Stegostoma tigrinum: one gene and its partners. The protein of the gene in region 4 interacts with the protein of the main gene of each other region in a pairwise test. Links are inferred from orthologs where the notes say so. Each region holds a gene or a part of one and is shown on either strand. Other genes may lie near its edges.

Region 1 (8,067 bases), on a different chromosome or scaffold from region 4:
ATCCAGGTTGAACTCCATTACCTTCAGTGAAATGGATTGTTACTGGCAGGTGAAGCTGCTAAAAGTAGTAGTTTTCGAAAAACATTCTTGGCTCCCTCTTGCAGCTCAGTGGTATGTCCCTACTCCTGGGCTGAGAGACCTGCGTTCAAGTCCCACCTGCTTCAGAGATTTAAAACACCTTTGAACAGATTGATTGGAAAAGAAACAGGTCTAACTACATTCTGGGGGGTCTTGTAAATTTCCCTACCTCTGAGCCAAGAGGCCTGCGGTCAATTCCCACATCTAGAGGTGTATAATAGCATCACTAAACAGATTGATGAAATACAATATCTTAACTATGTTCTATAGGGCCTTCCTGCAGCACAGTGGTAGTGTCCCTACACCTGGACTATGAGGCCAAGGTTCAAGTTGCATGTGTGCAACAACATTGCTAAACAGATTGATTAGAAAAAATATTCTAACTACATTCTGAAAGGGTTCTTGTGCTGCTCTGGTAGTGTCTCAACCTCTGAACCAGAAAGCCTGGGTTCAAGTTCCACCTGTTCCAGAGGTGTGCAAAAACATCTCGGAAATAGACTGATTAGAAAAACAATAGGTCTAACAACATTCTTAGGCCCTCTTCTGGTACAGAGGTAGTGTCCCTACCCTTGAACTGAGAAGCCTGGGTTCAAGTCCCACCTGCTCCAGATGTGTACAATAACATGTCTGAACAAGTTGATAGGAAAATATCTCTAATTACATTCTGGATGCTAATTTTGAGATCCAGATGGTTGAGCATGCCATTTGACATTTCCATGGCTATGGAAGAGAATTAGCACAGATCAGCAGTGATCTTTCCAGTGTGGAAACTATCATTGATGATCCAACAGTCTACATATCTGCAAACATGATGGAAGAAGTCAGAAAAACCACAAACAGAATTTGGTAAAACTACTAAAGAGAGCGACCAGATCAAGGAGGAGGGGATGAGAGGGAGGATTAGTCATTGGATGAGGCCGGGGTGGGGAGATTTTGAAGCTTGTAAAGTCCACATTGAGACCATTCGGCTGTAGAGCTCCCAAGGCGGAACATGAGGTGCTGCTCCTCCAGTTTCCGGGTGGCGCCATTATGTCACTGGAGGAGGCCCAGCATGGACATGTCATCCAGGGAGTAGGAGAGGGAGTTGAAGTGGTTCACAACTGGAAGGTGCTACATTTGTTGTGAACCGAGCGCAGGTGCTCCACAAAGCGGTCTCCGAACGTCTGGTTTGTCTTACCAATGTAGAGGAGGCCACATTGGTAGCAGTGGATGCAACAGACCACATTTGCGGATGTGCAGGTGAACAGCTGTCTGATGTGGAATGTTTTTTTGGGTCTTGGGATGGAGGTGGGGGGAGAGGTGTTGTGACAAGCAAAGCACTTCCTGCAGTTGCAGGAAAAGGTGCCAGAGGTGGTGGGGCTAGTGGGGAGTGTAGAGTAAAACAAGAGACTCTTGGAGAGAGCGGTCCCTACAGAAGGCAGATAGGGGTGGGGAGGGAAATATTTCCTTCATTGTGGGGTCAGATTGCAGGTAGCAGAAGTGGCGGAGAGTGATGCATTGAGTCCGGAAGTTAGTGGGGTGTTACTTGAGGACAACGAGGATTCTATCTTTCTTTTTGTTGCAGGGAGAGGATGTGAGGGCAGAGGTACTGGAAACATAATAGATGTGGTCAAGAGCATTTTTGGCCACTGAAGGGGGAAGCTGCGGTCCTTGAAATACAAGGGCATCTGGGATGTTCAGGAGTGGAATGCCTCACCTTAGAAGCAAAAGCTGCGGAGGTAGAGGGATTGGGAGTATGGGATCGCACTCTTGCAGGAAGGTGGGTGAGAGGAGGTGCAGTCTAGTGAATATTTCATGTCAGTTTTTACTGTGGAGAAAGAAATAGAGTCTAGAGAATGCACAAAAGTAAACTTTGATGTTTTAAAAACATTTCACATTACAGAAGAGGAATTTTGGGAGATCTTAGAGAATATAAAGGTGGATAAATCACTGGGAATGTTTCCCAGAATATTGGAGGAAGTAAGGGAGAAAATTACAAGACACCTTGCAGAAATATTTGCATCATCTATAACTACAGGTAAGGTGCCTGATGACTGGAGGGTGGCTGATGTTGTTTGTTAACCTTTGTTTAAGAGTGGTTGTAGGGAGAAACCAATGAACTATAGAACTGTTGAGTCTGACTTCGGTTGTGGGTAAATTGTTGGAGGCAATAATAAAAGATAGGATTTATGGATATTTAGAGAGGCAAAAATCAATTAGGGATAGTCAGCATAGTTTTGTGTGAGGAAAATTGTAAGTTTTTGAGGAAGCTACCAAGAAGGTTGATGATGGCAAAGCAGTAAACATTGTTTATTTGGATTTTAGTAAAGCCCTTGACAAAGTTCTGCATAGGAGACTAATTAGTAAAGCTAGCGCACGTGGCATTCAGGGTGAGTTTGCCAGTTGGATACATAATTGGCTTATTGGCAGGAGACAGTAATGGTGAAGGGTTGCTTTTCACATGGAGGCCTGAGGGTTGCAGTGGTCCACAGTGATTGGTTCTGGGTCCTCTTTTGCTTGTCATTTATATAAATAATTTGGATGAGACTATTGAAGACATGGTTAGTAAGTTTTCAGATGACACCAAATTTGGTGGCATTGTAGATAGTCAAGAAGGTTTTCTAAGCATACAAAGGGATCTTGGTGAAATGGGTCAATTGGGTTGTAAAATGGCAGATGAAGTTCAATCTGGATAAATGTGAGGTATTGTATTTTGGTATAACAAACAAGGGTAGGTTTATACAATTAATGGCAATAATTAGTGGTAGGTTTATATAATTAATGGTAGTGTTGTAGAACAGAGGGATCTAGGGGTGCAGGCATGTACTTCTTTAAAGTTTGCTTCACGTATAGACAGGGTGGTTAAAAAAGTGTTTGGGATGCTTGCCTTTATTGCTCAGTCCTTTAGAATAGGAATTCAGATGTTATGTTGTGGTTGTAAAAGATGCTGCTGAGGCTACTTCTGGAGTACTGTGTCCAGTTCTGGTCATCCAGTTATAGGAAAGTCATCATCAAGCTGGAGAGGGTTCAGGAGAGATTTACCAGGAAGTTGCTGGGTGTGGAAGGTGTCAGTTAAAAGGAAAGGCTGGATAGGCTGGAACTTTTTTCACTGGAGAATAGGAGTTTGGCAAGTGACCTGATAGAAGTCTCTAAAATAATGAGAGGTATTGATAAAGTTGATGGTAGTTGTCTTTTCCCTAAGATGGGGAATTTCAAGGCTAGAAAGTACATTTTTAAGGTGAGAGGAGAGAGATTTAAAATAAAAACATAAGCAGCAAATAGGTTACATAGAGGGTGGCTGACATGTGGAATGAAGTTCCTGAGGAAGTGGTGGATGCGGGTATAATTACAACATTTAAAAAGGCATTTGGATGGATAGAAGAATAGGAAAAGTTTGGAGGGATATGGGCCAGCAGAAGGCAGGTGGGACTAGTTTAGTTTGATATGATGATCAGCATTGACTGTTTAGACTGAAGGGTCTGTTTCTGTGCTGTACGACTCTATAATGGCAAAAAGGCTTCACCTGGATCCTGACAAGGTGAGAAGTCTGATATAATAGGAGCTGCAGATGCAGGATTTCGGCCCAGACCTGAAATGTCAACTTTCCTGCTCCTAAGATGCTGCTTGGCCTGCTGTGTTCCTGCAGCTCTATACCTTGTTATCAAGATGAGAACTCTACTGGAGGAGCAATGACCATCTGGCATGAAAGTGGTGCAACAATTTGTGAGCTAAGTTTCTGCTTTATTTGTCATCAAAGTGAGTACCTCCACATAGTTTTTTGTTAAGGATGGCATTGGAACACAGAACAAGAAGCTCTTCATCTTACAATCAATTAGGACTGACAATGCCAGTGCTAAAGTACAAGTGTCAACAATGAACACAGTTACAGTGTGATGTAGTAGAAGACCAGATTTGGAGCAAGCCTTATGCAGCAAGGACAAGCAGTTGCATTTATATCCAAAACATTAATGTAAGCTGAATTCACTCCACATGTATCTAGAGAGATTTCTCTTCATAAAACTGATAAAATATTACCAAAGCTGAGCACTGGATAGCCAGTTAGAATGCAAACATTCAATTTTTTCAAGCAAGGTTAACCCAAATGGCAACTTAGGACTCTGTGAGCACCTGTAATCTCAAGCATACCTGGTGAATTTGAGTGACTAGCTATATCACTGCAACTTGTGGACATATACGTATAACTGATGAAGTTTCTCCTTTACTGTAGACAGCCGATGAGAAAGATAAATGTCACCTCACTGCACAAAATATAGAATGACTATCTGCCCTAGCAGTCCACTGTTCTCCAGCAAGGCAATGGATAAGCACCAACAGTTACCAGGTCAACTCAGTCATCAGAATGACACTCCCTAAAGATGGAACATCACTCCAGGAATGGCCAGATTCCACACAAACAGCCAAAAACAATGTGCACACATAACATCATAAGATCTGCATGAATGCGTGTGCAATGCCTGTGCAAATGGTCATGAGAGGGATAGACGAAAATTAACAAACGTTTTCGATAATTAGTTTTTCCCAATATGTAGGATACCTTACAACTGCAAATGATTGCATTTTCTAACGAAAATAGGGATGTTTGAAGAAATGCACTTCTGCCCTGGTACGCTTGCGGCTTATCATAGACATGTGACCTATACTGTAGGTTGCTTTCACTTTCGAAGTAGAGCCATTAAAGTATATTGCATGAAACACCGTTTCCGTTTTTGGGCACAACTTAATGAGAAACTTTTTACAAGTACAACCATGTCACGTGGGTTTTCCAAAGTGCGCTCAGATTACCACTTCCTTCAAATAAAGCTGGTAGGCGACCCCTCGTAAATGCATCCCATCATCCTTGAGTAATTCCTTCGCTTGGTTTATCCAGGTAATGATCAAGTTTACTTGGAAACTCTCTGTATCAATCAAAGATTTTGGTATAGGCAATGGCTCCAATTTTCGAATGTTTTCTTTTAATGTACCTGTCTCCTAGATTTGTCTGAATCTTGATTCCAAAAGTCTCTCTCCTTTTGTTACTCAGTCTAGACTACCCAGTGGTACTTCCTTCAAGGAAAAAAAGCGATTTCAAAACGGTGCTGAGAGCCTGGGGCGTTTTTCCCTCTCTCCCAAAATTGGTATTTTACGAACGTATTCCAGACAGTTGTGTGTTACGAGCGGTTGCACGATAAATTATATCATTAGGCGCAATTTTAAAATCTCTATAGATCTGACAGCGATGTAATTTGTAGATGCCGCCCTCCGCACGTTACTTTGAAGCTGAAGTTGCTCGGGAAGTAAACTGGTATTTTCCACATTATGACAGATTTGGTGACGGGGCGGGTCTTTCACAGTGACAGAACATCGAAGCACACAGACCGCTCGAGTAGGACTTGGCCAGAACTGGGAGTACCGCCTCGGGCGACAGTTAGACTCGCGCCTCGTCGTCAGAATTCGAAAAGGCAGCGCGAGAGCCAACGATCTCGCAAGGAAGAGGCGCGATAATTGGGGGCGGGGGGGCGGAGAGGGAGAGAAGAGAAGAAAGAGTATGGCCATGGGGGGGGGGTGAGAAGAGAAGAAGAAAGAGGACGAATACGGAGCGGGAGTTTGGGGTTGGGCCAGAGGAGGCCCGTGACAGAGCACGGGTTGGCTAGACGCTTAATACAGATGTGGGAGAGAGCGTGGGGTCTCACTGGTATGTAAGCTAAAGAGGACTGTTATAAAGCGACGGAGGTGTGGGCTATTCAAAACCCATTACAGAGTAGCGGGATATTGTATATAGCCCAATACGTATAAAAATGGAATCTCGTCTTGAGTATATAACCAATTCAAAAGACCATTCACGCTTCAGAACTTGTTTGTTTTAAGATTAACTAAAATAATCAACCTTGAAAAAGAGCAGTACTTTCAAAATAGGATTGCTGAATCAAAATTGCTCGACCTATTCTGCTCAATTTTTTAAAATATATTTGAAATGCTCAAAGGCTGACTAAAAATGCTAAGATTGGCAGATGTTTCTAATCATCCAGTGTTATTCCACACCTCCAAAGCAGATGGAACTTGAACCCAGGCCTCCTAGCTCAGAAGAACTCTACCACTGTGACTCAAGTCAAATCTTTTACTAGTACATTTTTCACTTCCCACAGAACTGTCTCTTAGGAAATCATCAGGATGCATTATGAAAATGCCTGAAAGTTTTTTTACTTTGGTACCAAGTTGTGTCTGTTTTTAGTTGAACAATTTCAATGAAACATATCCCACTTAAAGCATCATTCAGGCCATGAAAGCATTTTACTTTAAATTCAAAAGCTTTCCTCATGCATTTTTACCCTTTGGACAATTTCAGAAACACCTCTGAAATTTATCATACTGTAAAAATGCAGCTTATGTCATTTTTTGTTATTGGTATGGTCATTGGTAAGGCCACCATTTGATGCTTGTCCTCAAGTGAACCTTGAACGGAGTGGATTGTTAAAACTATTTCAGAGGGTAGTTAAGAGACAACATATTATGTGGAGCTAAAGTGTTATGTAGATCAGCCCTGGGAAAGCATGCTAAATTTCTCAAATTTCATTCATAAGCCTGATGGGTTTTTACTAGGTAGTCGATCGTTATCGCCATTAAAGAGCCAAATGGCCTGTTCCCACACTTTGTCTGATACCAGCTTTATGTGTTAGATTTATTACTGAATATTTGATTTGATGAATTGTTACTTGCAGTAAAATACAATATAAAGTATTGTTTTGCATGCTATCCAGACAAATCAAACCTTACATAAGTACATCAAGGTAATAGAACAGAATGCAGAATACAGTGTTACAGCGACAGAGAAAGTGCGGGGAAAGATCAACTCTAATATATTAGAGGTCTGTCCATAAGTAAGATAACAGGGAAGAAGCTGTTCTTGAAGCTGTTGGTATGTGATTTCAAACTTTTGTATCTTCTGCCCAATGGAAGAGGGTGAATTTTAACTGTTGCCCTCACAAGTTAACTTGAACTTGTGGATTACTAGTCCAATTATATCATCACAATGTCACCGATGTTGTACATTTCCACGAAGATATGGTAAAATGACTTAATACACTTTCAGGATTAGTGTACTCCATCTGGGAATGTCCACCTATAATGTCTGTAAGTCATCAAAGTCTCAAGTAATTAGCCTTGTTCTTTTTGTTCACTCATGGGACATGGGCGTCACTTTCTGGCCTGTGTTTATTGCCCAACCTTAGGTACCCTTGAGAAGATGGTGGTGAGCTGCCTTCTTGAAGCACTTTAGCCCAAGTGCTGTAGATTGACCCATAATGCCATTTGAAGAGGGGAGTACTAAACCAGGAGCTTACTGAAGTCGTCACAAGAAGACTTGAGCCCCAGGCGACGCCAGAGAATGTTGCATTGTCACATCTGTTGATAGAGCGGCTGATGTAAAGCTGTTCACCGAGGAAACTCAGGATGCAAATGGCTACTAGATTCGAGTTGAGGGAAAAACGTTCACTGGTGGGAAAACAAAATGGCAGCCATTTGGAGTGGTCGTACCATCTGATAAAGAGACAGATTGTTGGATGCTGTGCACTGAATATATTTGATGCATTTTTAAAGGTGAATAAGGTGGCTGAAGACATTTTACTGTGTTTCTTGAGTTCTGTTAGGAGCAAGATCTTTGCAATTCTAAACATTCCAGTGCAACCAGAGAAACCTGCAGAGAAGTCACACCAAGAACTATGCAAAGTGTTGGGGAGCTATTTTCCACCAGTCAATGATTACAGAATGTTTTTGTTTTTATAAAAAGGTACAACACAAAGGAGAGTCCATAGCCCAATTTGTGGCTGCCCTAAACAGTTTGGTAGAACATTGCAAATTCAGAGATTCCTCCAAGGTGCCTTGTGGGACCATTTGATTTGTGGCTTCCAACAAGAAGCCATTCAACAGAAGCGACTAACAAGGAGAGACCCGGATTTCATGACAGCTTTTGAAATTGCTACCTTAATGGAGGTGGCCACGGGTAAAGCAATGCAG
Region 2 (7,652 bases), on a different chromosome or scaffold from region 4:
CACTGCTCGGCCTGCTGTGTTCATCCAGCTTCATACACAGTGTTATCTTAGATTCTCCAGCATTGGCAGTTCCTACTATCTCTTGTTCAAAGTCACTCCAGACTTTACTTGCTGCCCCTTCCTAATGGACAGAGATATTCTGTTCACTCATCACTGTGCTTAAAGATCTACGGTCTAATAGAGACTTTAAAAAAATCTGAATCACTATCTCCTCCATTCCCTCAAATCAGTATAAACCCCTCCAGCCATCGCAGATCTTTCCACTTCTGACCTCTTGCCTTACCCCACGTCACCTTCAGATGCTCAATAATTCCCTCCATAAATCCATTTCCACTCCACCTGGCTTTTAAGACCTACCTGTCTGACAATGCTCTTCCTATCCTGCTTGAGAGAGGATTTATCATCCTGAGGATTGCCACAAGGATATCTAGCTAGGTTACTAGGTTTATATAAAACTGCTGGCTGCTACGACTGCCCATGCTGATCTATAGTCAGTCAATCACCAGCTGTTCAAGTGGTTTGCTCTCCTTGCTCTGAAAACCAGAGGGTAACACCGATTGCCATGGGAGATTGTCACATCCATGGTGGTAGGTTGAGTTGACTTATTGATACCTTACAGAACTTTGAAGATGATGTTTTTGTGGGGATTACACCTGCAACTTAAGGAACTGTTTTAGTGCACTTAGGGTTCAAGTCTGCCCTTACATGGTAAAGTAAACAAAACTGTGAGCCCTTGTCAGCAAAGTGGCTTGAGGTATATGACCATTGCAAGCAAGGGGTGTGTGCACACGCGCACACTGGACATGCATATAAAACATACCACAGCCTCAAATCCACATCAACTTGCAAATATTCCAAAGACCGATTAGGATACAGATTTAAACTGTTTCAATCCCCAAAGTAGCCAGTAGAAACCGTAACAAACCTGAAGACTGTAATCATGCCTGCAACTGAATGGGCAGGTCCTTAACGCCATCATGCAATCCCCACAATTACTTCCAGCTCATTAGCACCCACAGGGTAAAATCTGCCACTCAGCTGATTTGAAGAATGCATAATTCACACAAATCCTTCTCCACAGCAATAAGCAAAAACATAGTCATTATGAACCGCTCAGCAAGTTGTTTTAAAAAAAAAATCAGTAAGTCCAGATAAAACTGAACGCAAGACTCAAAATATTTGGCATTGGGCTAATTCTGTATTTTTATGAAGCAGGCATCCAGAGATAACGTGACCACCCCACCCACCCTGCAAGCTAACTTCCTGACCAGACACGAAGTTATCTAAAACAGGCCATTTGACCCATCTTGCAAACAAACAGTCTTTTGCTTCAGTTCCAACCCATTAAAAAAGGTAACACTGCATTTTTTCTTGTCAATAACAGTGTTATTAATGCAAAAAAAAAATTCCAGTAGGTACTCAGAGTAGCATTACAGGACATGACACAGAGATACATAAGGAGATAAGAGATCAGTTAGACAGTTAGGTTTTAAAGACTTTTAAAACCTAAAGGACAGCGATATTGCAAGACTTAGGAACTAAAGGCACAGCCTCCAAAAAAAAAAGGTGGAACTACTGGGAAATCACCAGGGGCTAAATTAGAGGCAGATTTCCCTGGCGGGCTGTAGGTTTGGAGTGAATTACAAGGATAGGGAGGGAGTGGAAAGATCATGAAGTGATATGAAGAAGAGGAATAAATTAAACAATATGAAGCAAAACCCTGTGAGGTCGAAAGTTATATCTGCAGTGCTCTCATTCAGTAACCTTTCCAGAACACAACCGTGCCTACCAATCACTCAAATCGGGGGGGGGGGGGGGGGGGGGAGGAGGAGGGGGAGGAAGAAGAAGAAGAAAGAGAGTAACCATGTTGAACAGTTGCTAACTGTGTAGTTACTTAGCTCTCCATTCAGGATAAACTAAATTGAAAAGGCAGCTCAGCTACTGGATTGGAGGAGATGAAAAGAAATGTCAACTATTGACAAAAAGCTCAAAAAGAACATTCATAATTGAAACAATTTTTTTGGGAGCTAAGTGGCACTCAAATGGTTTACACTTGATTCCCAAGGGCTGCAGCAAACTCAGAATGCTTCTGCAGATTTGACTGTAACATCCCCTATTTCAGACCTTGAGGGGAGTCAACCCAATCCCTCACGAATGTGGGATTGCAGGGCACATTTTGTGAACTTGCTCATTATCATAGTCTCGACAGTGAGAAAAGTGAAATACAACATTACCCTTTCTCCCTTCCTACATTAGCAGATGTGCAGATGCCAGCATTGGAAGCAGGTGGACAGAGTCAGAAATTACACAACACCAGGTTATGGTTCAACAAGTTTCTGAAATTACAAGCTTTAGGAGTGCTGCTCTATTATCAAGTAAAGTCAGGCTGATGAAGGGGCAATGCACCAAAAGCTTGAGATTTCAAATAAACTTGTTGGAATGTAACCTGGGAATCGTATGAGTTCTGACCTTGTATTAGCAGAGACAGTTCTATTTGCTCTGTGTGTTTGGTTCTTGGTCATCCCCATCTGGATCTATATTGCTGCAGTGGCTCTAGTCAAACGACATCTTGATCTTCAAATTCTCACCCTGCTCCACAGCTTTGCTCCCACAAAGTCACACACACAACCTCAATCTAAATCCAGTCTTGGAGTATTTTCCAATTTTTGTCACTTCGCCATTAGTGAGCACCATTTCAGTTGCTCAGGCCTGGAGCTCTGACATTCCTTCACTAACCCCTCCACCACTACCTTGACTTGCTTCAAGGAGGGTCTTTAAAACCCAGCTCTTCAATCGCCAACCCTTTGCAGCTTAGTGTTATGTTTTGAATTATGTGGTATGCTGTTAGGTGTAAACTATTAGTGTTCAAAGCCAACAACAGATCAGAGCTGATAACTTGAAAATCTCAGTTACAGCATAATTCCTTTGGAATGCAAGGCAAGAAAACCACATCCCAAATTTAAACTCGGCACTCCAGATTTTTACAGGATTTGGAAATTCCTGCACAATTTTGGAATGGCTCAGCATCAAAACCGCATTGATGACCCCAACGTTAGAATGTCCTAAAATCAGCTGAAGTCTTCATACTAGCCACTCATCAAATCAAAAACAAACCTGAGACAGTTTGAATTCACAAATTATCTGTCGAATACCAAGTCCATTGCTGGAGATGGGTTCAACTTAAGGTCAACAAGCTCACATTACAACAACAAACACCATTTGTACGCACCTTTAAAACCAAGTGAACCACCCAAAAGCACTTCACAGCAGAATTATAAAGATACATTTTGACAAGAGCCACAATGTACTGAAGTCATTCAGCATTCTTAATACATTTAAAAGGATATGAAATAAGCAAATGGTGGGGTGTGGCAGAAACAGAGGTGGTACCTACACTCCCTCCCACCCCCACCCCCCACCCCCACCGGCAGTGGTTGAGAACGCCCTTGTCCGCGTCTCCCACATTTCCCGCAACACATCCCTCACACCCCACCCCCGCCACAACCGCCTAAGAGGATCCGCCTCGTTCTCTCACACCACCCCACCAACCTCTGGATACAACATATCATCCTCCGACACTTCCGCCATCTACAATCTGACCCCACCACCCAAGACATTTTTCCATCCCCACCCTTGTCTGCCTTCTGGAGAGATCACTCTCTCCGCGACTCCCTCTCCACACTCCCCTCCAACCCCGGCACCTGCTCCTGCAACCGCAGAAAATGCTACACTTGCCCCCACACCTCCTCCCTCACCCCCATTCCAGGTCCCAAGATGATTTTCCATATCAAGCAGATGTTCACCCGCACATCTGCCAATGTGGTATACTGTATCCATTGTACCTGGTGTGGCTTCCTCTACATTGGGGAAACCAAGCGGAGGCTTGGGGACCGCTTTGCAGAACACCTCCGCACGGTTCGCAATAAACAACTGCACCTCCCAGTCGCGAACCATTTTAACTCCCCCTCCCATTCTTCAGATGACATGTCCATCATGGGCCTCCTGCAGTGCCACAAGGATGCCACCCGAAGGTTGCAGGAACAGCAACTCATTCCGCTTGGGAATCCTGCAGCCCAATGGTATCAATGTGGACTTCACAAGCTTCAAAATCTCCCCTCCCCCCATTGCATCCCAAAATCAGCCCAGCCTGTCTCTGCCTCCCTAACCTGTTCTTCGTCTCACCCATCCCAAGCCGCACCTCCATTTCCTACCTACTAACCTCATCCCACCTCCTTGACCTCTCCGTCTTCCCTGGACTGACCTATCCCCTCCCTACCTCCCCACCTATCTTTTCTCTCCATCTTCAGTCCGCCTCCCCCCTCCCTATTTATTCCCGTTCCCTCTCCCCATTCCCCTCTCTGAAGAAGGTTCTAGGCCCGAGACATCAGCTTTTGTGCTCCTGAGATGCTGCTGGGCCTGCTGTGTACATCCAGCTCCAGATTCTGTTATCTTGGATTCTCCAGCATCTGCAGTTCCCATTATCTCTGGTACCTACACAGTTAGCTAAAGCAGAATGGGAGGAGGCTCCTGTACAAGGATAAAGTCCAGCAAGGATTCCAGTCTCCTTTCAGATTTCCAGCATCCATAGCATTTTGCTTCTGGTTTAGGACTTCTCTTCCAGGTGTCCTACTCTTCTTTCTGATGGGATCTCCTTTTGGTTCTTCTACCCTGTTCACCCTCTTGGTTTTCCTTTTCCCCTTTCTGCGACATAATCTAAAAACCACCTGTTTTTACAGGGACAATTCCATTACAGACAATGGCCTCCGGCTTCAAACCTAGAATTCTGTCATTCTTTGCATGATCACAAGGTTCTCTCAGAAATCCAAAACCATGCTCCTAGTGCAGCTCAACATTGTTCACTGACACACATACACCTCATCTCTGCCTCAAGCACACCAACTGATTCAACCTCAAAAGTTGCCCAGGTCCATGCTTAATTTTGTACCTCTTCTGGCATCTTAAACAAAAAAAAACACCTTGGTGTTCCTTTAAAGGGTTACAATCTTCACTGGAATCATGACCGCCAAGACTCCCTCTTGTGATTGCCATCCTCACCTTCAGAGCCCCTTCCTTTCTTAATTGTACCTCAATACTTGAACAAGAAGAAGTGTCCTGATGCAAGATCATTGACCTGAAACACTAACACTGTTTCTCACTCCACGGATGCTGTCTAACTGGAGTTTCTCCCAGTTTCTAAATTAACAGTTGGAGGTGAAACACTGGCTTTATTTAAAAACAAAAAGTTATGTAAATCTACACTAAGCATGCCCTCCAAGATGAAACAGCAATGCACAAAATCAGGCTAGACTCAGATTATAAAAAAAGTGTTCCCTTCAGAATAGGGAACACAACGAAAAAGGTCATGACTGCACTGGCCAATGTAGTAGTAACTGGCAATGACAGTACAGGTGCCCTGTCAGTACTTTTGAAGCTCAGGCTAAAACCACACTGTTGGAGGTTTTGTAAAGACAGCATTAGTTGCTGCTCAGTGTTGACACCAGGTTCCCAAAATGGAAAGTGTTCTATCTCCCAGAAGGATATACCTTTACTTATCCATCCAAATATTCTGTTACATTACCTCATTTCATTCTCACATGCATATTGCAGTCAGGTCATGTTTGCTGCTTCTGAATAGACTGCAACACAACATTGTGACCTCATCGAGAAAGAAATCCATCATTTGCCCACTGGATTGAAAAAAATCATTAAGTGCATTGCCATTTAGGGATGGTTTCCACACAAGCCAACTTATCAAAATCTAGGAGGCAAGTCAAAATATGCAGATCAACGTTCTACATCAAGGCCCAATACTTCAACATCCTGTTTCACAGTAGTCTAAACATCCATGTGCAAGTCTCTGCAACAGTATCAAGCAATGCAGTACACAAGCTGCACTTGAGCTGGGTATACCAATGAGAAAACATTACATATGAAAGATCTACCAGGACATGTAATAACAGCACAGTTTTAAAAAAAAGCTGCTCAAGATGCAGCAGTGAGGTACAAAGGCTTGATTCTGCCTCCAAAAACACTGCTATTCTGTAAGCTTCAAAACTTCAGAATTTAAATGGTATACAGTTCTAAGTCCATTGATTTTTCCAAGGCATTGGTTTGCAATGCACTGAATATAGCAACATATGGGTTCAATGAAATCCAATATTGCAACAGAAAGCACTCATCCTCCTGGGTCATTAACATTAAAATAATGCCAAGATGGCACAGGTGGTTAAACTCTCATCTCCCAGAGCATGAACACAGCGTTCCAGTGGGCCCGACCTTTCTCCCAGCATGAACCCAACGTGTTGTTATCTCAGTGAGACCCATGTGTGTCAGGGAAGAGGGAAAGAGAAAGACAACGAATATCTGTGGGCATAGAGTAAGAAGAGAAGACTGAGTTACAACTGCTGCTGGAGGAGATCTATGGAAGCCAAAATGCATGTCTCTGAGATCACAACCCCCATTGTTTTTAGGATGGCAACCCTATTTGAGGCAGCTCTGATACAGCATGCTTGTCTATCAGAAGCAGTGGCCTAAACAACTCAAACTTAGCACCAAATCTATGAATGCCCATCTCTGAGAATACAAACTCTCTATCTTGGACAAATTAAATGACAGAACATAAACCCCGATATTGAACAGAGTGCCCAATATTAATGCACTCAAATATTTAAAAACATTTCCCCAGGATTAACACTATGGGTTAAAAAAAAACACGATCAAGGCAGAGGTAAAGCTAATCTCAAGTAAAACAAAGCTTCCACAAGATCACAATTTGAGCAGTAGATCTGATCACTGCTGACTGTTCTGAATCACTTCCTCCATTCCAGCCATTGGCAAGTTTATATCAGGATAAAGGGAACACATGCCTAAAAATCTCAAACTTGTCTTTTCCCCTTCAGGTGTTGAATGATGCGTTATGGTCCTGTGTTCTATATGTGCATACTAAACCCAACAAAGTCACCAACTCCTCACACTGCCTACAGCTGAACAGTAATTCACACTTGAGACGATTGAGTGGGTACACTTAAACAAACCATGACAAATTGCCAGCAATTTAGCTACCACAAAATCTAACTGAATACAAATTCAAAAGAAACACAAAATGCATAAGATTTAAAAAAAACAAACCTGGGTACAAGTACTGAGTTATACAACACGTGTCAAATTGCAGGCAGTATGGCCTGTTGTTGATTTGAAAAAAGCATAGCAGCATCCCAACATATGGGAAATTGATCTGTTGTAACGTGGGATTAAAACAAAAAAACACACCGCAAACTCGGAAGGAGATATTTCGCAGGGCCTGTGCGCGTGTTTATGCTTCACTTGTCTGAGTTTCATCCCTTTCCATAGGTGGGGGGGTGGGGGAGGATTCACTGTCAAAAAACTCGCAGACCACCAACCACCAGTTCTCGCCACCCCCCCCCGCCCAAAAGAAAAACAATAACGCGAACAGCCTGATCTGCAGATATGTTCACTGGTATCACTTTTTTTGGCGGGGGGGGGGGAAAAAGAGAAAAGATAATTTTTTAAAAATGAGCGCAAGATTTGCACAGACGTGGCTGGATTGAGAAGGCATACCCCGCAACAGCGACTTTTTAAAAAATCTTAACAAGGTAGTTATACAACCAGCACACCTCCCCTAAAAGAGTGGA
Region 3 (7,499 bases), about 1.8 Mb from region 4:
CAATAATTTGTGAGTGATAACAACATTCCAAAGGCAATAAAAAAAATTCTTTGTGTTGATGTCAATTTTTGTCTCTTTATGTTTCTCTGAAGCACCTTGGATCATTTTATTATGTTGAAAGCAATGTATAAATGTACATTATTGCTGTCTGCACCTTGACCCTGGTAACTACAGACCCAATCAGGCGGCACAGTGGCTCAGTGGTTAACACTGCAGCCTCACAGCGCCAGGAAACCGCGTTCAATTCCAGCCTTGGGTAACTGTCTGTGTAGAGTTTGCACGTTCTCCCTGTGTCTGCGTGGGTTTCCTCCAGGTGCTCCGATTTCCTCCCACAGTCCAAAGATGTGCAGGCTATGTGGATCAGCCATGCTAAATTGTCTATAGTGTTCAGGGGTGTGTGAATTATGGGGGGATGGGTCTGGGTGGTGATGCTCCAAGGGGCGGTGTGGATTTGTAGGGCCACACTATAAGGAATCTAATCTAATCAATCTAAAATTACTATTGTAGAAGGCATTGGAGTTGTGAAGTGGCCCTGGAAGTTGATGTTTCTTCAGAACAATTTTGGAAAAATACAAGGTGGAGGAATTGTGTGCTAATCACATTGAATCCTAGTAGATGAGAGAAATAGTAAATGAATATTTTGCATCAGTTTTTACTGTGAAGAAAGAAATGGAGGCTGAAAAACTAAGGGAAATAAATATTGATATTTTAAAAACAGCTCACATTACAGAATACAGAAATAGTTCTGGAGATCTTAAAGAAGACAAAGCTGAACAATCTCCAGGATCTGATCTAATATATCCCAGAATACTTTGGGAAGTAAAGGAGGAAACTGCAGTGACCCCTTGCAGAAATATTTGCACCATCTATACTTACTGTTGAGGTGTCTGATCACTGGAGAGTGGTTAATGCTGCACCTTTATTTAAGAAGGATTTTAAGGAGAAACTAGAGAACTATAAACCTGTGAAGCTAACTTCGTTTGTGGGTAAGTTATTGTAAGTGATTCTAAAAGATGGGATTTATAAACATTTAGAGAGGCAAAAATTGATTTTGGATAGTCAGTATGGTTTTGTGTGAAGAAAATCATGTCATAAACTTGATTGCATTTTTTGAGGAAGTTACCAAAAAGATTGATGAGGGCAGGGTAGAAGGTGTTGTTTTCTAGGTAAAGCCTTTGACAAGGTTCCACATGGTATAGTAATTAGTAAAGTTAGGTCACATGGGTTTCAGGGTGAGCTTGCCAATTGGATGCATAATTGGCTTAATGGCATGAAACAGAGAGTGGTGGTGATAGATTGCTTTTTAGATTGGAGGACAGTAGTAATGGTGTTTCACAGAAATTGGTTCTTGGTCATCTTTTGTTTATCATTTATATAAATATTTGGATGAAATTATAGAAGGCATGGGGGTGGTGTGGTGGTTCAGTGGTTAGCACTGCAGCCTCACAGTGCCAGGGACTCAGGTTTGATTCCTGCCTTGGGTGACTGTGGGTTTCTTCCCACAGTCCAAAGATGTGCAGGCTAGGTGGATTGGCCATGCTAAATTGCCCATAGTGTTCAGGGGTGTGTGGGTTATAGGGGGATGGTTCTGGGTGGGATGCTTCAAGGGGTGGTGTGGACTTGTTGGGCTGAAGGGCCTTGTTTCCACACTGTAAGTAATCTAGGTAAATCTAAATAAGTTTGCGGATGAAACCAAAATTGATGGCATAGTAGACAGTGAATGTTATCTAAGATTACAAAGGGGTCTTGATTAAATAGGTCAATGGAGTGTGAAATGGCTGATAGAATTTAATTTGGATAAATGCAAGGTATTGTGTTTTGGTACAGCAAACAGAGGCAGGACTTTTAATGGTAGAGTCTTGAGTACTGTTGTAGAACAGAGGGACACAAGGATTGAGATACTTAATTCTTTGGAGCCTGTGTCACATAGAAAGGCAATTAGCATGATTGACATCATTGCTCAGTTGTTTCAGTATAGGTATTGGGAAGTCAAGTTAAAATAGTACAGGACACTGCTGAGGTGTCTTCTGGAGTATTGTGTTGAGTTCTAGTTGCCCTGTTATTGGAAGAATATTACTAAACTAGAAGATGTTTACCAGCATGTTGCAGGTGTGGAAGGTTTAAGTTATAAGGATAGGCTGGTCCATCTTTCACTGGAGTGTAGGAGGTTGAGAGGTAACCTTTTAGAAGTTTTTATAAAATCATGAGGGTGTACAGATAGGGTTAATGGTAGAGTCTGTTCCCTAAGATGTAGGACTTCAAGTCTAGGAACATAGTCTTAAGATGAGGAGAGAGATTTTAATAAGATATGTGGGGCAACTTTTTTTTTACTTGTTGGGTGGTTCACATGTGGAATGAATTTCCTCAGGAAATAGTGGATGTGGGTGTAGTTACAATGTTTAAAAGACATTTGGATAGGCACATGAATAGGAAAGATTTGGAGGGATATGTGCCAAGAGCAGGCAGTTGGGACTAGTTTGAGATTGTTTGGCATGGACTTGTTGGACCCAATGGCCTGTTTCTGTGTTGTATGACTCTATGTTGACCCATCTTTGTTCTCAATCTCTTGATAGTTTTTGACAGTTAAACAAAATGAGGCACTTACAATTTTCATTTTTACCCATTGTATTTTCAGTGCCTCACACTAACTTAGCTACTTATACATTCTACTCTTTATTGTCATGTTATTATTTCATTAAGATAACCTTTAACAACATTCCTTTTCCAATATCAATCTTCCTCTTTGTCTTATGTTTACTGACTTAAAGCAGAGTTTATCACTCAAACATTAGTCTGTTTCTCTACCTTATGTGGTTGATCAAATGTATATTTTAAACTTTCTGTTTTTGCTTGAAATTTCTAGCATAATTATTATTCTGTCTCTATGTTCATTCTTGTTACCATGTTTGGTTAGGCCAATAATGATGAACTATAATCCTTGTAATATTATACATGTTACCTTGCTACTGGGGTGGGGGGGGGGAAGTAATGACTAATGTGGCTGAACGGTTGGACAACTTGAGACTGGCTTTAGATTCAGATTTATTTTGTAGTATGAAAAAAAATTGGCTGTGGCTGGGACAACATCCTTCCACTTGGTGTAAATAACACCTAACCCATAGAACTGCTGGGCTGTCATGCACCATCATTTCTAATAAAGGCACATAAAGTTGTGCAGGTTTTAGCATTGTGTTAACCAGAAAAAGTTGCATTTATACACCTCACAGCCCATCGATGCATAGAATATTACAGTGCTTCCTTGTGGTGTCTTGAAGGCAAACAGTCATCAAACATTGAGGTCAGGGTGAGCAGTGCTGTACAAAATTAAACGAAAATGACATTTATTTTTAAATAACATGACTATTTAAAAAGTAACATGAGAACACTACTATAGTCCTCAATATTTTGGTCCCAGTTATTGTTATTGCACCAACAAAGAGCTGTGGTTCATACGCCGAATAGTGTCAAATTGTGGGCTATTTGTGCTCTAAGTTTACACCCATTCAGGCTGGAAATCATTAGTTCGCAAAGGCAGAAAATTCCATTCCTTTATGTTCGGTCTCTTTCAGATCAGTAACTGTAAAATGAAAGATTTTTTTTTCGAACTGCTATGGATTTTCCTTTGGAATTCTTGTTCTGTGGCAATCTTTATCACTCCACTGTCCTTTTTAATGTAATTCGGCCTCCCCAGTTGAACACCCTGCTTGAGCCGTGCATTTTTTGTGTGTCCTGGTCTGTGTTGGGATTTAACTAAAGTGATGGTGGTGTTGGGAGGTTTAGAGAGGGAAAGTTTTCTGTTGTATTTCCAGTGACAAAATCACTGTATGTGAATTTTGAGTTATATAAAGTTCTGCTATAGTTGGGAACTTTTAAATATTTAGGTTCAGTACTTAAGGGACATGATGAGATTTTTTTCATGTTCATGTCGAAAACTGACGTGTTATTCTGGAAATTTCTGAATTATCTGGTCGCTCCATTTAAAAACTTCAGTTAAACGCACATAAATAGTCACGGCCAGTGCAAAAACTTCGCGCTTGTTTGTAGTCTTCAGGGTCAAGTGAATATTTTAGTTCGTTTTAAAAACGATCCCTGTGAAATTTATTTATGTCTTAATAGTTGATCCCAGCAATTCATTTGGGGGGGAAAAATACAATTCAGCATGGTTTTGGAAACTGCGTGCGTTCGAGTGACATATGTTTCGTTTTCTAGAGGATAATTCCAGACTGTAATTTCCTTAAGTATTTTCCTCCCTCCTCTTTTCGATAAGCTGCGGAAGGCTTCTGCCCTCTCTCGCCTATTGCTTCCGGATCGAGAGACTGTTGGGGAGGGGGCAGGAAAAGAGGTTGTGGGGCGGGGGGGGGGTCTTCGAGTTCGCAAGGCAGAGCTTGTTCGTCTCGGCTATTGGGTGCTGCCCTTGAGAGGATTCCGTTCCGCCTTCCTCGTTACAATTTATATTTTTTAAAAAAAACGTACAAGGTTGGGGTTTTATACGTCAGAAACAACCCGGGTCTGAAAGGAAACGGGCACCCCCCTCCTTTGCTAACGGGGTTTGTCAGGACCAGTGCCGGGAATCTGCTTCGCGGACAGGAGTTCTTACACGGTGCATTTTCCACTGGTTGGTGATTTTTAAAGATTGTTGCTGTAAATGTGTGTGGTGTGGGCTGGGGGAGGTGCTGAAGTACCTGGAAGCAATGGGAAAGCCCAGTGTGTGTGAAGGACAACGTGAGCTGACAGCGAGGAACCTCCGGGATATCCGTCACTCCGAGGGATTTACAGAGGGCCCCTCTGAGGGGGTTCCGACACCGGCCAATCAACAGCTGCTCCTTGCCTGTGGGCGGGGCGGTCGCTGTTCGTGGTTCCCCCACGTGATCTCCGCCCCTCCCGGTGATGCGCGCGGGGAGAGGCGGGGCGGGAGCTCCGCTGACGTCATGGGGCAACCTGGCAGCCGCTTTCAGCCTCGGCTCCGAAGAGGTGGAGAAGGAGGAGGTGAGAATGAGGGAGTGGCTGGCTCGCTCGCCCGGGGTTGGGGGCCTGCTGAATGGGATATTAATTCTTACTCCCACTCCGTGCTAGCTCCTTCTCTGTGGCTACCCCTCCCCCACCCCATTCATGATTTCTCCTTGATTCATGACACCTATCAAATCCCTACATCTACCCCTCCCCGTGTGATCAGACCCTTCTCTTAGATCTGACTTTTCTCAACTGTGATCTGCACCTTCTCCTCTTGCTGTACCCCTCTTGTGAAAACTAGTGACCTGCCCGCGGACGCCTTGCTCCGATTCTCTGCCTCTTTTGCCTGTGTTTTTACTTCTAATTTCATTTTGCTTTGTAGTTTGTTCCTTCCATCTGCCTTCAGTGTGATTCCCTTTAATCACATCATTTGACTTTTACTGCCTCTTTGTCTTCTGCTACTTTGCCATTCTTCTTTACGTAGATATGACATTTATTGCTCTGAGATTTGGAAGAGCAGACCTCCCAGATCTGCAGTGAATCACTTTGCTTTCGAGGCAACAGTAGCGGCCAGGAGTGTTTTGCATTCTGTTTTAACGTTTCTTTTATCGTTAGGACCAGTGACAATGCTCTGGGGGCTCAGAGTTTTGCCAGCCATCAGCTAACCTGTTTGGGGGAGCAGGTGTAGCAGAATTCAACCTTGGTTTCAGGGCATATGTTGAAGTGACTGGGGACAGAATTGAGGAACGTCTGTCCCTCTGAATCCATCTTAGTTGATTTGTTTCAACTTTAAAACTGTCTGTCTGAAGAATGTGCTTCAATAAAGGTTACTTCATCTGGTTACGTTTGATCCTGTATTTGTTTGACGTGGAGTCCAACTTGAAATTTGGATGGCAAACCTTTTACAATGTGGCTTCAATCTGCGCACCCTCTGCGGTTTATTTGCTGAGGAAACTGCTCAAGTAATCAGATTTAGTAGCTCTACCAAGACCTCAGACCGCCTGTATGAAAATCCATGAGTCTTGACTAAGCCGCATATTCGTTTCTACCTAAAAAGAATTTGCTTTTGCAGAATATTTGCAATTAGGTGCTTTTGAATTATAGTCAATATTGCTGGTATCCTCTGAGGAAACACTGCTTTTGTTTGATAACTTGATACTGTGAATCTGGGAAAAGACTTGGAGTATTGCAAACACTGTGAACATATTGTGTTATTCCTTTACTTGTCTTTAGTTTGTAATAAAGTTAGTTTTAGGATTATATTGTAAGATGTATCATAAAAGGACTAGTTGCACTGGATATTTGTGAATAGATTTGGGAGTTGGATAAGCAAGGAAAACATATCTCTCCATATTAGAAAGTTAATAGGAACTGCTGATACTGGAGTCTGAGATAACAGGGTGTAAAGCTGGATTAACACAGCAGGCCAGGCAACATCAGATTTGTTTTCAATCGGGGCAGTCAGGTTTGAGGATTTTTAGGAAGGAGCTAGAAATGGGCAGTGTGGGGTTGGGGAACTATGAGGTTGGAGTTTGTGGGTAGGAGGTTACTTGAGGTGATGAGGTTGTGGATTGTCTGGGAGATGATGTTTTTAATATGTATTAGTCTATGTACTGATTGTGTGTGAGAAGACTCAGATTTGGAAAGTTTTAGTTTTCTGCTGCATTACATACCACTGCACACTGCGAAATTTGACTTTTGAGTTAGTGCAAGCTGTGTTCTCTTAATTATCGTGTGAGACAGATCTTATTTCCTTCTTCGTAGCAGATTGCTTTTGTACTTTCTTCCTGTTTTTGAGATGTGGGGGATTATATGTGACATTTGTTATATTAATTTTTATCTTTCAGTTGTTTTGATGGTGTTTGGTCAGCGCCAGGCGGCCTTTCCGCCATCTCTGTCTCTGCCTTCCTTCAGTTTTGAGGTTGAACATGCCACGTCGGAAACAAGTTAATCCTAAACCTCTGAGAGGTGAGAATTGCCAAGAACCTGTTTAAAAATATCTAGTTAATGAAATGTGAGGCTGGATGAACACAGCAGGCCCAGCAGCATCTCGGGTGCTCCAGAGATGCTGCTGGGCCTGCTGTGTTCATCCAGCCTCACATTTCCTTATCTTGGAGTCTCCAGCATCTGCAGTTCCCATTATCACATCAAAAATATCTAGTTATTGGCTTAATTTCTTATTTTCCACATACTTTAATATTACTGAGAAGTTCAATCTGTTGTCCAGTCTTTCAGTTGTATTTCCATTCTTTTGGTTATAATTAAAAGAAAAGTCCAGATGTTCTAGTGCACACATTGGCATTACAATCAGTCTTAAAACACCAGACGCTTTATGTTGGCTGGTTGCGTGTAGTATGAGGAACTTCATTGAAATATCTTTGAGAAATTGAAAGAATAGAAATAAATTGCTAAATTAGGATTTATATTTTTTGCGCTGTCACTGACCACAATGGTAAAACTCCAATGTGCTGTATTACATGTATTTTTGCAAAATGAGAATTTAAAGCAATTATTTTGGTGGGGATCACAGATTACTCTTGGTAACACGT
Region 4 (7,225 bases):
CTCCAGTTCTATCTGTCCTCATTTAGTCACATTGGTTCAGAATGCTCATCAGTTAGCTTGTGCTGCACCAGCTGGCCATGCAGAAATGTTTCTGCAGAAAAACAACTTTGACCACAAGTTAATCATGCACCGAACTGGAAATCAACCTACTTGAGATCCTGCTGGAAAGGAGATAGTGGATCTATTAGATGATTCCTGCACCAACATTTTCAAACAAGTGCCAGGACTTGGCTTGGCTGCTGAAGAAAAGGGCACTCTGTGTCAGATCCTGAACACATACCTAATAACTCCATGCCAGTATACACTGTCCCTGTGACAGCTGAGCTGGGGAAGAGACTATCACCCCTATACTTCCAGAATGTGCATTGCATCTGGAAAGTAATGTAAGATTTTTGTTTAAGTTTACCTTGAACAATTCCTTATCACAGGACTCTGCTCCACGGATAGTTCTCAACAGTGCACACCAAGTAAATATTAACTGCTGCTTGATCCATAAACTTGCTGAATGACAAAGAGCTGAATACGACTGATTGTTGCAGACTGCCAAATTCCAAGGTGCAGGATGACATATAGTGGGATGCTGTTAACCTGAATGCAGCCACTTGAAAGGATTATTGGTAAGGCTACAGTACAGAGCTTTGCTACCCTTGAACACAGAAGGGCTAGAGCCAATATAAGACCCCTCAAGATTTATATGTGTATCTGAAATTAAGCGCAGAAAATATACAATTGTTGTAACACAAAATGAGGTTATTGAGCCTTTGCTAGCACTGTGCAAGACCAAATTAGCTAGTTCCACACAAACAGAAACAGAAACAGAAGTGGCTGGAGAAACTCAGCAGGTCTGGCAGCATCTGTGGAGATAAAACAGAATTAACATTTTGAGTCCAGTGACCTTTCTTCAGATCTCCAGCATCTGTGATTCTTGAATTTATTTTAGCTAATCCCATGATCTAACCTTTCTCCATAGTCCTGCAATTTATTCTGTTCAGATGCTAATCAATTCCCTTTTTAAATCCATGATTAAAACTACTTTCACCACTCTCCTCATAGTATATTCCAGAATCTAACCACTCACAACATTGTATATTGTCCTTATATTGCATTTAGTTCTTCTTGTCTTTCATCACAATCAGTATCTTCTGTTTCTCAACCCTTCTGCCAAAGGGAACTTTCTCTTCGTCCAGTCTGCAATAACACCATTAATGCTTTTATCACCTTTATCAAATCCCCTTTCAATCTTCTCTCTTCTAAGAATAATCCCAGTTTGTCTAATCTTACCATGTAACTGAAGTTCCTCATTCACAGAATCACTGTTGCAAATCCTTTCTGCATCCTGTCTAAAGCTTCACATATTATAAATAGATTATATCCAACAACTCAGAGTAGTAAGGGTATGGAACGCTTTGCCTGCAACGGTAGTGGATTTGCCAACTTTAGTACATTTAAATCATCATTGGACAAGCATATGGATGTACATGGAATAGTGTAGGTTAGATGGGCTGCAGATTGGTACGGCAGGTCGGCACAACATCGAGGGCTGAAGGGCCTGTACTGTGCTGTAATGTTCTATGTTCTATATAGTACTTTTAATAGAATAAAATGATACAGAGCACTGCATAGGAGCATTATAAAACCAAATTTGGCATGAAGTCAAGTAAGGAGATACCCACAGGTGACCAAAATTGTGTTTAAAGAGAGATGTTTTAAGCAAATTTCAAAGGACAAAGGAAAGGTTTTAAAGGAGGAAGTTTCTGGCAGTTGAAGACACCAGTACTGCAGCAATTAACAACAAGATGCTTAAGAGACTAGAATTGGATATCTGTAGATGACTTAGAGGGTTGGCGGGCTGGAGATGAATTCAAAAATAGGGAGGATTGAACCATGGGTGAGATTTCAAAACAGGTATGGGAATTTTAAAATCAAGGCATTGCTTAACTGGAAGCCGTTATAGGCAAGCAAAGCAGAAAGATGAAATGAGCAGGACTTGGGGCAAATAAAGGCAGAGGTAGCAGAATTTTGGATGGCATCAAGTTTACAGAACAGAAGAATGGGAAATAAGAAGATATGAAAATGGGAATTGATGGTCATAGTGATGTGCAGACTGCGGGCAGAATCTCCATTCTGGCTGGAAGTTTTGTACCGTCTGGCTCAGATTTAAACAGGCAGAAGATGCAGTCAATGGCAAAGAAAATGAATGTATAACGTGGGTTAAAGAAGATTGGTTCAATTTTCCCAAAGCTTAATTGGAGAAAAATAATGTTATGTAAGTGCAATATTATTTTTGTGCAGTCTGTATGTTCCATGGAGTAAGGGATCCTTGAGTGCATGAATTATATTTATTTAAATTGATCTGTATTCAATGTATACTGAATTATACTGTAATTTTATAATTTATCAATATATAATTCTGGGACAAACAGGCTCTTCTAGATCTAAGAACCAAAGTTTAAGACTTTCCAACATGTGTTTGATTTACTGAAGAGCCAGGGTCCAATCTATCCTGTTGGTATTCCCCATCCCGATCATCACCCCTTAACTATCTTAGGGTGGGATAATGCCAGGTGCATGCAGGCAAAACTAAGGAATGACCTTCACATTACAGAGGTCAAGGTGATTTGCAGGGCACCTTTTACTGATTCCTATTCCCCATTTAAGATTGTGTTTTTAAATATGTTAAATATGCTAGTTAATGCTATGAGAGTTAGCCTAAAGCTAAATACCATATGTTGCCATTGTAGAGTGCTGTACAGTCCCAGTAAACCATGACTAAGCTAATTCATCGCTCTGTATCAGTTCATAAACCAGCTGGCATTTTAGAATTACGTCAGAAATGAACAGTACAGTCAGTAATCTTATGAGTTTCCATATGTTAGTGCTTTAAGTGTGCATTTAATGGGAGCAGTTGATTACAGGGAACTACCACAGTCAATTCTATTTGTGTTTTATGTTGCATGTACATTTATTAAAAATATTGTGCAGCATCCTATGTATAAAACATTTTCTTTAAAAAATGATAAAACCCAGAACTACATAAATAGGTATATATCTCAACTGCCACTTAGTTTTTTCAAATGCATTTATCAGGACTTGACGGCTCTTTGAATCCTTAAGTTTTACAACTCTGAGTACATTCAGTTTCCAAAAATACATGTATTACGTTGAAAATTATTATACTATAATTGGAACACTGAACGTCAGACAATTCCAAGCAATTGCAGCTTAGAGTACTAAATTGACGCATTGTAATTTCTGGGAAACAAAAAGCTTTAATTTCATCCATGTAAATAAGGTGTTGGAACAGGATCCACTGACATTTCCACTAGGAAAACAACAGTAAGACTGTGTCCAGCACTTGGTGTTGTAAAGGACAAACACACTGCAGCAACCCTAGTGTGTGAAGTCTGCACTGCATTGAAACATTACATCATCCCTGACCAATCAGAAGTGAATGAGTGACTGGGAGCGATTCCAGCTGTTTATGTTGCTCTCAGGAAAGAGTGAGCGCGGCCCTTCAGCTGGATGGGATATTCCTGCAGCGTGTTTCTGTTTAAAGGAACCTTTCCAAAACTGCTCCACTAACGCCCTTTTTAAAGGGATATTCCGCAGTTCACTTCAGCAGACAGCGCATTTCGAAATCAAGGATCACATCGATGACGAAGGCAAAGTTTTAACTGCAGACGTTGGAAAGATGAGTGGGAAAGGCAATCTCATACTCGAAATCAAACCTTGAAGGGTTCGGCTTTGAAGTATAAATTGGGTTCAAGTGAAAATGCATGGGTGTCATTGGAGTAGAGCGAGTGGAATCCAAAACGCACATGCATCACACACTTACACCAGTCGTTTGCACTTGGGACAGTTTGAATTTGAGCATTTCCTCCATTCAATAAAATCCATACTTCAGAATGACAAAAGCTTGTTAAAAGCTGAAAAAAGTTCTACTTACATAAATTGGTTCATACATATGTTGATATATTTATCGTCTATTCAGATTCATTTTACCTTTCTATTCGGCCCCATTTCTTCCACTTCAGCACAGTAAGTTCCTGCATCGGACGAGTTAAATTAGTTGGCAGCTTGCAATCTGCACTGTTGCAACAAACACGTTCTATTGTACTGCCCTAGGCAAGTTACTCGACTGGCTTTTAAAGGACTTCTTGGTTGTACTGTACACGTGACTTTTACAAGTTTAACTTTACTTTCAAAATTTATCGCACTCCTGCGCTGACGCGTAGATGTATATACCATGCCCGTACATAACACACTGCAATATGTTGACTGTGTTCTGTTGCAATTAGGACTTCTTTACGTAGTTTTCTTCTAGCCCTCTCAACGCGCTCACATTAATCTCTGGATCTGTTGGCAGCCGGCCAGTATGTGTGTTGTCTTGCATCCTTTGCATATAGTAGAATCCTTAAGCTATCAGCAGACGCAGCCAAGTGCTCCATATTTGGCTTATGTTACACACACGCAGTGAGAGCGAGCGCTGGAGGAGAGAAGCAGAGCAGGAGTGGTGTCTGCAAGACAGACATTACTACAGAGCTACAAGCTCGGCTTCCTTCATCGCGGAGCGCCACGTCTTGGGCATCACCGCCTTTTTGATGTTGTAAGTGTTTTATATAAAGAAATATATATTTTACGGTTCTTCTCCAGCGACATTGGCTATTTGCTTTCATTTCCTTGCTCTGTGTATGTGTAGGTTGTTATGAAATGGCTAGGCTCCCTCTTATAGTACAAACACAGCCTTGCTCAGAAATCTGATTGAGAAAACTGTGTGTGTATTTTGTGTGGTCTGTGTGTGATTATGAAGTGCTGCCCTGAGTATGTGCTGTGATGTTTTCGTCCGGGTTGTGTGTGAGTGGGGAGCGTTAGGATTGGGGTTGGGGGGACGGCAGGTAATGCTTGGGGGATGATGTTTTGCTGGGGAGGAGGCGGATGGGGGTGGGGGGTTGGGTGCTGGTAGGGGTGGAGACTGAGGGGATGCCGCGGCAGGGCTCGGGAAACGGCGGCTCGTCAGGGAGCTGACCGCTTGTTTAATCGGGTCATGTAGGAGACGGGCTCGCCAGAGCGTTGCGTAATCGGGTAGATAGGGCTGGTCTGCAGAAGGGAACATTTTTATCTTGTTTACAACGCTGCCGATACATTGTAGTGCGATATCTATGCGGTCAGACCATCCAAGCAGACAGTGGCACCACGCAAGTCTCTTTATTGTTACTACCTCGGTGACTCATCGGCAAATCTTATTCCTCCATCTGCTTTTTTCTACAACATTATTGCAGGCTGTTGGTTTTGAGTGTGTGTTGAACTAGGTCGTTATCGATGGCCAATAAGCATATAAAAATTGTTGGACTTGATAAATCTCAGCACATTTGTCCAAAGGACCTATTGGCTCCAGAATTTATCTGTAGCCCTTATCCCACAAACACGTCAAGAATTTTGTGTTTAAAATGAGTACAGTTTGTGTCAAATGAAAGAGCAACAAAGGGCGGCGAGATCAGTTTTTGTCCACTAGCATTATGCGTCTGACACTTTGACTATCCACCCTCCCGTCATTCAAATGCAGAAATTCAAGGCAACACCACATTAAACAAACACTTAAAACAAAACGTGGACATTGTTTTCTGGTGAGTCAGTAACTCCTCTTTCTGAGGCAGAGCTGCTGCGTAAAAAGATCATGAATGAGACTGGGAATACTATAATTATTTCCAAGCCATTGCATCAGTGTTGACAATAAGCAGTTAAAAATACATTAACTGTGTGTTAACATGTTCAATGCATTGGATAATGAAAGTCTCAGAAATGATTTCCATGTGTGGAAGTTCTTGGAGAAGCTGTCGTGTGCACTACACGTACAAAGATGTTGGTGTAGGATTTCATTGCGCTACCCCTGGACCTGATCAATCATGTAATTAGATCAGGTTGCCCTGGTAACTGACGTTATTTATCTCTTCAATGAGGTGCGCATGCTTATCTTGTAAAAGAGCTTGTGTCCTTCGGCATATTTCATACTGTAAGTGCCGGGTGGTCACATATTTATCCATTATTTTAAAATGGATTGAATCCGGTATTTATTTCAGCAGTAAATAAACATATTTGTTCGAAGTATTTCAAGATAAAAGGCCTTGTAACGTGTATACATAAAATACTAGCTGATAGCCAATCAAGGCCGTGTGATGGCAAGATGCTGCTGTGAACACCGCTTGAAGGCTTGCTGTTAAAGACCTAACTTGGAGGTGGAGTGTGGGTTATGTGAATCTGGCTCATTGTAACTGTTTAGAAACTGTTGAGGTCAGTCAAAGGGCAGTTGTAACTAAGTTTTAGGTGCCAGATCAGCGACTGCATTTACTGTCCGTTTAAAAAAATGTATCCAGTAGCATGGTGTGACGTAGTGTCTGGAATGTAATACATGCACCACACTGGATGCAAGTTTTTTTTTATACTTTTGTGTTTTCGGATGTAATAGTTATGCATGTTAGAATAAGCCACCTAGGTGTCTAAAAAATTATGTTGTATCTGTGGAACACTTGAGAATGTAGTATTTATTGTGCTGGAGATTTTCAAATATGATCTAATTTCTATTAAGTGGTAGAGATGTACATAGAAGGATATGATAGCCACATTTTCAATTTTGCTTTCTTAACAGAATCAATATAGATACACAATATATGGTGTTGTACAAAGTATCCACATTAAGTCTTCATGGAGATATTTAACATAATCTAGTGTCAATATCATAATTTGTGTTGAGTACGTTTTGGCTGAGGACCATTGGTGATCAGCAGTGAATTTTGAAAAATAGCTGTGTTTTGGCATGCATCAAAATCAGTACATCTTTTAGTATGAGCTGAAAGTAGGTGAGGCTAAAATAGTATCAGAGATAATGGGAACTGCAGATGCTGGAGATTCCAAGATAATAAAATGTGAGGCTGGATGAACACAGCAGGCCAAGCAGCATCTCAGGAGCACAAAAGCCGACGTTTCGGGCCTAGAGGTGAGGCTTGTTGTTGCTGGCACATACTTGAATGATTAATCTTTGTATTCATTTGAGTGATTAAAAAGAATCAATTACCTATACCTACGGGTATCAATCTCAGTATTCTATAATCAGGGAGATCATTCGGATACAAAGGAGACAGCTGAGTTGAGTCACAGTAGGTATTCATGTTTTTTATGTTGCCCTTACATTTCTGGAAATAAAATGCCAATAAGATAGGAGTGTCTTCAG

What was found.
Region 1: the proteins of atxn1a (region 4) and mettl27 interact in binary tests that used the Homo sapiens proteins (3 or more experiments, as listed by UniProt). The link is inferred for Stegostoma tigrinum from reciprocal best matches to the Homo sapiens genes ATXN1 and METTL27.
Region 2: the proteins of atxn1a (region 4) and anp32a interact in binary tests that used the Homo sapiens proteins (3 or more experiments, as listed by UniProt). The link is inferred for Stegostoma tigrinum from reciprocal best matches to the Homo sapiens genes ATXN1 and ANP32A.
Region 3: the proteins of atxn1a (region 4) and hivep1 interact in binary tests that used the Homo sapiens proteins (3 or more experiments, as listed by UniProt). The link is inferred for Stegostoma tigrinum from reciprocal best matches to the Homo sapiens genes ATXN1 and HIVEP1.

What each region holds. Positions count from the first base shown.
Region 1 is NC_081380.1:14,973,061-14,981,127, forward strand, and holds the start of mettl27 (methyltransferase-like protein 27), read left to right. Parts: upstream 1-4,754; 5' UTR 4,755-4,945; intron 4,946-5,628; exon of another isoform or gene 5,629-5,749; intron 5,750-8,067.
Region 2 is NC_081386.1:29,268,085-29,275,736, reverse strand, and holds the start of anp32a (acidic leucine-rich nuclear phosphoprotein 32 family member A), read right to left. Parts: upstream 3,317-7,652; 5' UTR 3,287-3,316; coding exon 3,230-3,286; intron 1-3,229. UniProt on the Homo sapiens protein: Multifunctional protein that is involved in the regulation of many processes including tumor suppression, apoptosis, cell cycle progression or transcription. Promotes apoptosis by favouring the activation of caspase-9/CASP9 and allowing apoptosome formation.
Region 3 is NC_081355.1:40,246,987-40,254,485, forward strand, and holds the start of hivep1 (zinc finger protein 40), read left to right. Parts: upstream 1-4,380; 5' UTR 4,381-4,615; intron 4,616-4,894; exon of another isoform or gene 4,895-4,986; intron 4,987-6,797; 5' UTR 6,798-6,878; coding exon 6,879-6,918; intron 6,919-7,499.
Region 4 is NC_081355.1:38,405,211-38,412,435, reverse strand, and holds the start of atxn1a (ataxin-1a), read left to right. Parts: upstream 1-4,169; 5' UTR 4,170-4,606; intron 4,607-7,225. UniProt on the Homo sapiens protein: Chromatin-binding factor that repress Notch signaling in the absence of Notch intracellular domain by acting as a CBF1 corepressor. Binds to the HEY promoter and might assist, along with NCOR2, RBPJ-mediated repression. Binds RNA in vitro.